2 linked regions of the Schizosaccharomyces pombe genome follow. Each later gene encodes a partner of the first gene's protein in a complex. Each region holds a gene or a part of one and is shown in the gene's direction. Other genes may lie near its edges. The genes, in order: nem1 and nem2.

Evidence for each region.
Region 2: nem1 (region 1) and nem2 share a complex: the UniProt entries of both Schizosaccharomyces pombe proteins name them as parts of the nem1-spo7 complex.

The regions. Positions count from the first base shown.
Region 1 is NC_003423.3:3,371,422-3,376,240, forward strand, and holds nem1 (Nem1-Spo7 phosphatase complex catalytic subunit Nem1), read left to right. Parts: upstream 1-1,880; 5' UTR 1,881-2,043; coding exon 2,044-3,474; 3' UTR 3,475-4,131; downstream 4,132-4,819. Other genes in the region: RNA polymerase I transcription factor subunit Rrn6, read right to left, coding at 1-763; U3 snoRNP-associated protein Utp3, read right to left, coding at 4,140-4,819. UniProt on the Schizosaccharomyces pombe protein: Catalytic component of the nem1-spo7 complex which acts as a phosphatase and may be required for proper nuclear membrane morphology.
Region 2 is NC_003423.3:486,379-490,424, forward strand, and holds nem2 (protein phosphatase regulator Nem2), read left to right. Parts: upstream 1-1,577; 5' UTR 1,578-1,851; coding exon 1,852-2,394; 3' UTR 2,395-3,222; downstream 3,223-4,046. Other genes in the region: Ctf18 RFC-like complex subunit Ctf18, read right to left, coding at 1-582; MTREC (exosome adaptor) complex RNA-binding subunit Rmn1, read left to right, coding at 3,504-3,533, 3,572-3,609, 3,700-4,046. UniProt on the Schizosaccharomyces pombe protein: Probable regulatory component of the nem1-spo7 complex which acts as a phosphatase and may be required for proper nuclear membrane morphology.

The DNA.
Region 1 (4,819 bases):
GTGTATTTGGCTCATCTAAGAACATTAAATCATAAGTTACCTGGAATATAACCAACTCACAAGACGATAATGCGAAGAGCAAACTTGGTTCTCCATTAGAGAAAACCAATTGTCTCACTGGTTGTGAGAATTTCCATATTGGATCCTCAGCAAACTCAAAAGCCGATACATTCAAGTAAAATGGGAATTCTTCAAAAGTTGCAGTATTTTGTAATGTCGGAGATGCACGAAAAATCCATGGAGACGAGAGGCATAAAAAGAGGAGATTTTCCGCAGTTTCATTGCTAATCTTGCTACAAGCAAGACATTCAGTTGTGGTGTATCTGTTTTTATCTGATGGCGCTGTTTTACCCAAGCAAAAAGTATTTAAAATATGTGGATTATATATAGACTCAGCAGAAGAAGCTAATTGAGACTCTTTCGCTAGTGTAGAAAATAAATTTCGCGGAACATATCTGCAAACACTTAAACCAAATGAACTACTAGTCGCTTTACGCGTGGAATTGGTGGCCTCAGCAGGAAGCTCAGTTAATTTAGGGAGTTTGTAGTTTGGATTTAAAGATAAGATATCCCATCTTTTGTCCAAGTCAACAAGCTCGACGCCCGTATAGGAGTCATACCTAGCAAAAGTCCATTCATTATTTTCAACCTTCTCCGCTCTGTGATAGCCAGATGGATTTAAAAGTTGACACGCCCCTATAATTCCATAATCCAAACTTACACTAGGTTTTTTACTAATTGCATCAATAGGCCATGTTGACATGAAGATAATTAGAAAAATAAAATTAGATTGAATTGTGTTTACAAAAACACATCTAACGACAATACAAGAGCAACCTAGCGACAAAGCAAGTAATCAGTGTTTCAAGGAAGCAATGCTGGAGTAATTTCACCTATAGTTAAGAACTTGACTTTATTGTTATACTATAATATATTTAAAGTGCTATCTTTAAACCATTATATAATTATATAAAATATAACTCCTACCGACTACATGCTTTCAATTGAACAATTTATTGATTTATGTTAACTGAGAATTTCTCTTTACTAGAAAAAGATGAAGTTTAAAAGTAATACTTAAATTAGTCATAAGACAGTGTTCAAGTAGGAGAGGAGTTCTTCTCCGAAGTCTCTAAGCTGCTATCAATTACATGTAGATTAACACAGCAACAAAACAATCTCCTTTACAATGAAATGCAAACGCTTACGATTTTGGAATGATTTAGCAATAGATAAATTGGTTTACGAATGTTGCATTAGCCCAGTTTTCCCTTTTCATAAAAAATACGTAAGGAGGTGCTGATACCTGAGGAAGAGTGCAATATTCAGATTAGCAAGTGTTTTGAATTCTCTTTAGTGTCCGCTTAACCAATTTTATCGATATGTTTATAATTTTGTAAAGTCAATAAGTTAGTTCAGCCTGTTATTTGTAAGTAATTTATTGTATGCAACGTCTAAAGGAGCTTGATACATTTTAACGTACCATTAAATATATTTAGACTTAAAAGCATCTTTCAAGTAATGTCAAGAAACCTAAAAAGACCGCTCGGCGACTTACATTCTAGCAAAACGTTGATTAAAAGAATGGCAATTAAGCTAGCTTCTACAAATATTTAGACTTTTAATAAAATGAAAATTAATTTTTCTTGCACAGAAACCCATACAAGTAAAGTTTATTAGTTAAAAAAAATGAAAGCTTCTGCAATGAACTTTCATTTTACGAACTTAATAAATATTTACACCGTATTGTTTACATTTAAATTTGTTACTTTAAGGTAGTTTTGATATATCTTCTTAAGCATTACGTCTTATGAAAATGTTATTATTTGGGTTGTAGTTCATCATTATATATATTGTGCATCGTACCACCGTGTGATTCTGGCTTTGTTTTCCCACATATTTTAGGTCTAACTAACACATATTTAATTAATTACTCTTTTTTACTAAAAGGACTCTGCTTGGTCGTTGTATACTTTGTATGCATCGCTTCTTTTGGTGAATTTTTTAATTCTTTGCAATCGCAGCAGAGAGAAAATAATTGTAATGAATTCGATTGCTAGGCTATCAGATGAAATTAATAAAGCAATCCTTGCCACTCCTTTAGACGACGATGAAGCTGACAAAGAAAAACTTGCTAATGCTCGGGGGCGAGCTTCATCAGCTACTTTGAGGCATTATAATCGTCGTAGATCGTCTTATTCGGCGTCCAGCCTTAGCAGTTTGTCATCAAAACCGACGGAAAAGGAAGTTCCTACAAGGAATGAAAAACCGAAGCATGCCAACATTATGCGTGTTGTCGTCTACTGGATTCGTGTGTTCCTGAAACGAATTTATACGTTTTTCGTTCATTCCGCTCGTGTATTTTTGTACCACTTTTTGAATGAAGAGAAAGAGTTTACCCTTGCAAGTTTTTTTTGGGGTCTATGCCGGTTTGTCTTTTTTCCTGTATTATTATCGTATAAACGCCGAGAGATGCTTCCCCCTCAGCCAAGTGTCCGCCGTCCTAGGTTTTATTCTTCTTATTCTTACCCATCCTCTCACCAGGATCCTGCCTATTCATCTTTCAAACGACATAGATCTTCTAATTCTTATAGCAGTTCTTCTAATGGAAATCATGTTCGTTTTCAGCCCTCTATTGCAGAAGAAGAAATTTCTTTCAATTCTTTTTCAAATTCATTGAATTCAGAAGAAGATGTGTGTGTTTCTCCTATGAAACCCAAAGAGGTCTCCCTAATGGGAAAAGCAAATTCCAATCGTTCAGGACATTCGCATCAACCTCAATCAACTCAGTTTTCCCCGCCTGCTAATGACAATATTTCTAAGCTGCCTTCCTCCTTTACGATAGTTAATGATCCTCTTAAATCTCCTTCTTCTTCCCGTCTCCGTATTAGAAACATTACTCTGTGTGCGGACAAAATACCGAGGCCTTTGTTGAATAGCAAGTTACCGAGAAAGACCCTTGTATTAGATTTGGATGAAACACTTATCCATTCCGTGTCTCGTGGTAGTCGAACGACTTCTGGACAGCCAATTGAAGTACATGTGCCTGGTGAACATCCAATCCTTTACTATATTCACAAAAGGCCTCATCTTGACTACTTTTTATCAAATGTGAGTCAATGGTTTCGCCTTATTTTGTTCACAGCATCTGTCCAGCCATATGCTGATCCAATAATTGATTATTTGGAGCGTGATAAAAAAATATTTGCTAAACGATACTACCGTCAACACTGTGCACTTGTCGATAGTTCTTTCGTTAAAGATATTTCCATTTGTAATATTCATCTTTCACGGATCATGATAATTGATAATTCTCCAGCCAGTTACAATGCTCATAAAGAAAATGCCATACCTATTGAAGGTTGGATTAGCGACCCCTCTGACGTTGATTTACTAAACTTACTTTCTTTTCTTCATGCACTGCAATATGTTCATGATGTGCGAGATCTTTTGGGGCTTCGTCTCGCAAAATAAGTGCTTTTCATGATTCCTTTTTTTTTTCGTGAGTAATTTACTCGTTATTTATCACCAGTAACGATGGTCTAAAATAACTTTTTCTACTGCATTAACATCTTGGGTGCCTTTCCTTTCTCATCATCAAACTTCTTTGTTATAACCTCAAAAGGGTACCTTTTGGATATTTCCTAGACCGCATTTGGGCCATTCCAGTTAAATAATTTTTGTTTCTTTTTGCTGATAATATGTCAATTAATGTAAGCCTAATCGTAAGAAATTCTTTCTAATAAACTAAACGCATGTTTTAAGAAAGATTAGTTTCTGCACTGATGTTCGCAGCAATTACGAAGGCAACTTACTTATGAAATTTCTTTCTAAATCAAGCTTTTAATAAACATGTTTATTCTATTTAAGTGTTGATTCTTTTTTTTTTACTTTTCAATCTGTTATTACAATCAACTTACTTAATCAGGATGGGCAAAGGATTATAAATGATTTAATGATTATAAACCAGATTACATAGACTTTTAGCATTTTAAAATCATATCACTAGGCTAACGACATTGTTCTAGCAAATAACATAACCCAAAACCACATTATTATTATATGTATCTAATAACACGAAAATTCAAAAAACCTAATATATGCAGAATTAATAGTTGAATCAATACCAACCACCACTTCTATTGAAGTTTAATACTTTTAACTAAACCAGCTTTAATACCAGTCTGCTCACCAGCATAGCCGCCCTGTGGTGCGCCCTTGTAAATAGCCTTTTTGCTGGCTAATTTCTTCTTAGCTTTTTCGTAGCGCATACGCTTTTTAAGTCGAGGATTTCTATTTTCTTTAGGTCGACGGGGAGTTAATCCTCTATTTTTAGCAATGTCTAAAGTAATTCCACGCTTATCACCTTCACCTAATTCAATTAGTTCTGGGTGCCTTGAAGCTCTTATTAAATCACGTTCGAGATCGTGATTTTCTTTACGGAGCTTTTTAGCCATCTTTGATTTTTTATCGAGAGACTCGTAATAATCCAAATCATCTTGATCTTCAACTTCACGATCGACATTTGCAGGTATGCCCATTGATTCCGGATCTTCATCATCAAGATCAGCACCAGCATCCTGATTTCGACCCCTGGCTGCAGCTTCTCTCATCAATCGCTGCTGGCGTTCAAATCTTCGTTCTTTGTATGGCATGTCCAAATCACCTGATAACTCCAGTACCGCTCTGGAACGCTTAGCTGCCTTTTGGTCAATTTGATTAGCATAAAACTTTAAAGAGCGTTTCCTAGCAATCTTGTCTTCAGCATCAACATCGTCCAATCTGTTGCCTTCACCATAGTCATCGAGATTTTTAATAT
Region 2 (4,046 bases), 2.9 Mb from region 1:
CGATTGTTCAGCATCTATATGTAATACCGAGGTTCGCCCTGTGGAAAATAATACATTGGAATCTTGATTTTCTTTTTCAAAATTAACTGGAGAACCCTTTTCAGAAGTTTTTGTATGCGAATTGTAATTCCTGAAAAGTAGATTGGAATCTCGTGGAAAAGCTGCAGCATTAGAAATATCCAAATCAATAGAGGGCATATCAATATCCATAGACTCTTCAAGCCCCATCTTTGGATTAGCAGACGTATTGGGATAACGGTAATCAGTTTGCGGCGCGTGCCTCTGATTTATTGTCTCGTCCTCACTTATGTCAGTATCAATTGCTGCATTGTCAGAACTATATAAATCCAGTGTAGAAGGGATATCATCACCGTTCCTTGTAGGAGAACCTACAGGCTGTGAACTATGAAATAAATCATTTGGTATTGATCGATGTTCAAGGTTTTCTAAAGCATTCGCGTTTCGCAATTCTAGTAAATAATTTTCCTCATCTTCAAAACTCTCATAATTCTTTCCATAAGGAACGTTTTGCTCCGCTACCAAAAGCTTCTCCAAATCATCCTCATTTGGAATCGAATCCATATGAGTTGGAAATCCAAATTTTCAAATGGAACATGTAACAATTATGAATACTGAAAGACATCGTACATCCGAATTTTTTATAAGCAATTACCCCGTGTGCGTTGCAATGCATTATATGCTTGGAGAGTAAACAAAGCTTTCACTTTGGTTTTTTATGTGGTAATTTCAAGTAATTTTAAGAAAAGAAAACTGTTGAAGAATATTTATTTAATGCTTATTTTATTTTTCTGTCTGTTAATGTCTGATATGAATTTTAATGAAACTCATACCGTGTGCGGAGCCAAAAATTTGCAGTCCTATTGACTTCTTTGATTGTTCCCAATTAATTTGGATTTATGGTTAATGTGTAAAAAATCGTTGATGGAATTACGGCGGTTCCGATCGTGAATAGGATAATCGACTTACCCCAACACTCTAGAGTGCGACATTCCTGGCTCGGCTTTTTGGAGTAGAAGATACAAACGAAAATAGAAAATTGATCTATATGTCGTTCCTAAAACTTATGCTTCAATTCTGCAAACACTACTAAGTTTTTTCAGCTTGCAACACGTTAAGCTGCGTAACTTATTTCTGCTACTATTTTACTCGGTATAGGATTGCTGATTGAGTTCTTTATTTCTTTATTTATATATGATCTTTTCGCCAACGTGTTTAAACTAGGGGAGTTTAATTGCTAAATCGGCTAAAAAACTACAATGTAAAAACTTGGCCTATATATTTTTATCCAAACATAAGATTTTTTAAATACAGAATTGATATCTGAGCAGTCATTTAGTAAAAAGATGTCAGTAAAAGCTTTCTAATCCATTGGTCGGAACTTTTTAAGACTTTGATGTTTACCAAATAATGAACACAGTTAACACTCCCTCACTATATTTTGCATCGTTATACAGTATACCAACGTTTACTATCGTTTACTATAGCACATATCGAAGTAGACAGCTGCACACTATTGATATTATAGCTATCGGCGCGTAGCTTTGACATTGACTTTTAGAATCTGCCATCCGATTGATACTTGAATCAGCAAATTAGAAGGGCTGTTCTTTTATTGTTTTAGAATCATCGGCTTGTACTATTACTAATTGAATTAGTTCTTATGTTACGCACATATCTCATTCTGTGGTCTTCATAACGACTTCTTGTAATTGGTGTTGGATATTGTCCAATTATTGTTATCTCCAAAAAGCTTTCTTATATTCTGTTTTTCAAGTTCTTTATATCTTTTTATTCTTTTTCCTACGTATTGTTAAGAGTGAATAAAATGCCATGTCCTCTTATGTGCCCAACACCCTGTCCGTATATCACAACTTGTTAATTTTAGAGGCATCGTTTCGGAAAACATACCTACAGCTTCAAGTTCGTCGTCAAAAGTATATGGCTTTCTATGTCTCACTATTGGTGTGGAACTTTTACTTTGGCTATCGCGTCTTTTATCGCATCTCAAAATACTCGTTGATTGATTTGACTTACAAACTTTGTCTTTTATGCGGAATTGTTACACTTTTGCTCTTTTATTTTTCTGGATTGTATCGGACTACAATAGTATATCCATCACGTTATGTTCAACAAGTCAACAAAGCGATGAGGTTTTTTAACATTCGCCTTGTTATAACTCCTGTCCCGTGGTTCCAGGTGAGAAAGCCTTTGGATTGTGGTGTCCATCTTATATTATCAAGCAAACGATTTGACATATTGGTGATCGAAGGTTGGGAAGCTTTTCGTTCTTCATATTTTGCTTCAATACATAGAAAAAACAATAGCATACAGAGTAACGAGTCCTCTGAATCTCCTTCTTCTAAACAGAACTAGATTTACTTATACCCTTATCCTATTTATAAAGGATGCGATCGTTTATTTCCTTTTCAACGTTGTTAATGCTTTTCATGTTTATACTGTTCTAGTATTTGTCATTTTTCATAACGTAAATTTTGATTAAAATTTTCAGCTATTTTTTTTTTTGCTATCCGTTGTTGCTGGCGCCTTTCGCTATATTATTGATCAGTTATTGTCGTTATACTTTTATTACATACTTACCCGATTTGAATTTATTAGGATACTTTTAAGGACATTTCCTTTTATGTTGGGATATGAGATTGCTTTACAGACCCACTGAAATAGGATTTATCGTTGGATAATTAAAAAAAGGATGTTGATGATTCATTACACATCTTGATCATTTACTTGCCTCATCTTAATTGGAAGGGTTTAAATAAAGGCTTAATTGAAAGTTGCTGTCACTTAACTTCCTTATCTTGTTCTGTCAACTTAAACTATTATCTTTCATTCCCGACTTATAATCTTTCTTTTCTTTCTACATCACCTTTTTTTTTAAAAAATGGGTAAAAAGCGTTTTCGCATGTACATAAGCAAAACTTCTTCTCTTCTTATGTAGAGACTTCCTTTTTTTTTAATTTTCAACTTACTCATGCGGACTATACCGGACGTTCATTAGCTCTCTTGACGAGTTAGGTTTTCAAATAATTTAATATAAATGTAATCACTCCACCGTTAAAATTAACTATTTATAAGTGGTGCTAAAATATAAAAAAGTGCATATAGCTAACACGTTTACTCACTGTTGTGCTGACAATTTAATCAATGAAATAATTGGAGACAAGTGAACTCTTTCGAAACTCTCATAATCGTCAGAGTTTGACTTAAAATACATTGTATATTAGTAGTCTAAATACGAGTAATATTATGCAAACCTTCCTATTCCTTATCTAATGTCGACTACTCAGTTAAATTTTATCCCAGCCAATTGCCCTAGCTAAGACATTTGTTATTATTTTGGTATTATGTTTATTCTTTTTGAACTTTCTGGCTAATTGTTAAAGATTTTACCTTATGTGATCTATATTTTCTTACTGGCTCAACCATGCGTAACGCTCCAACAACCAGCACTTTGCTCCATCACAATGCCGTTGTTCTTAGAAGAACATGCTGAGGTAATTTTATTTTTAAGATGCCGAATTAACGCTTTTAGTATTTGAAAAGATATTTAGAACAGGCGTTGGAGCCAATGTATGTAATTTTTTTTGAGTTGCCAATTTGCGTGATTTTTTTTTTTACACGCTAAAAAATTGTTTATCAATATGCTAACGAAATGACTAGTTCTGATGCTGATGCAAGTGTTTTATCAGATTATGCTATGGCATTGTTAAGGCACGATTCTTCTGAAGAAGAAGTTCGCCAGTTATGCTACTCACAACTAGAAGATTTTTTGCGACAGGAGACAATTCCTTTTGTTGATAAAATTTTTGATGTTTTACGTGAAAAATCTTACTTGGAGGGTGCTTCAAATATGCCGTCAACCGGTATGGTGACTGAAGAAGTTTCAAGGTATTCGCCAACTTCATCAATGATCCCTGCCACCAACAGCATGGAAACCAATTTTAATAATTCTTTACCTGCTGTAGGAAAAACAAACACTTTTCCCTCTCAGGTGCCTAATATGTTTG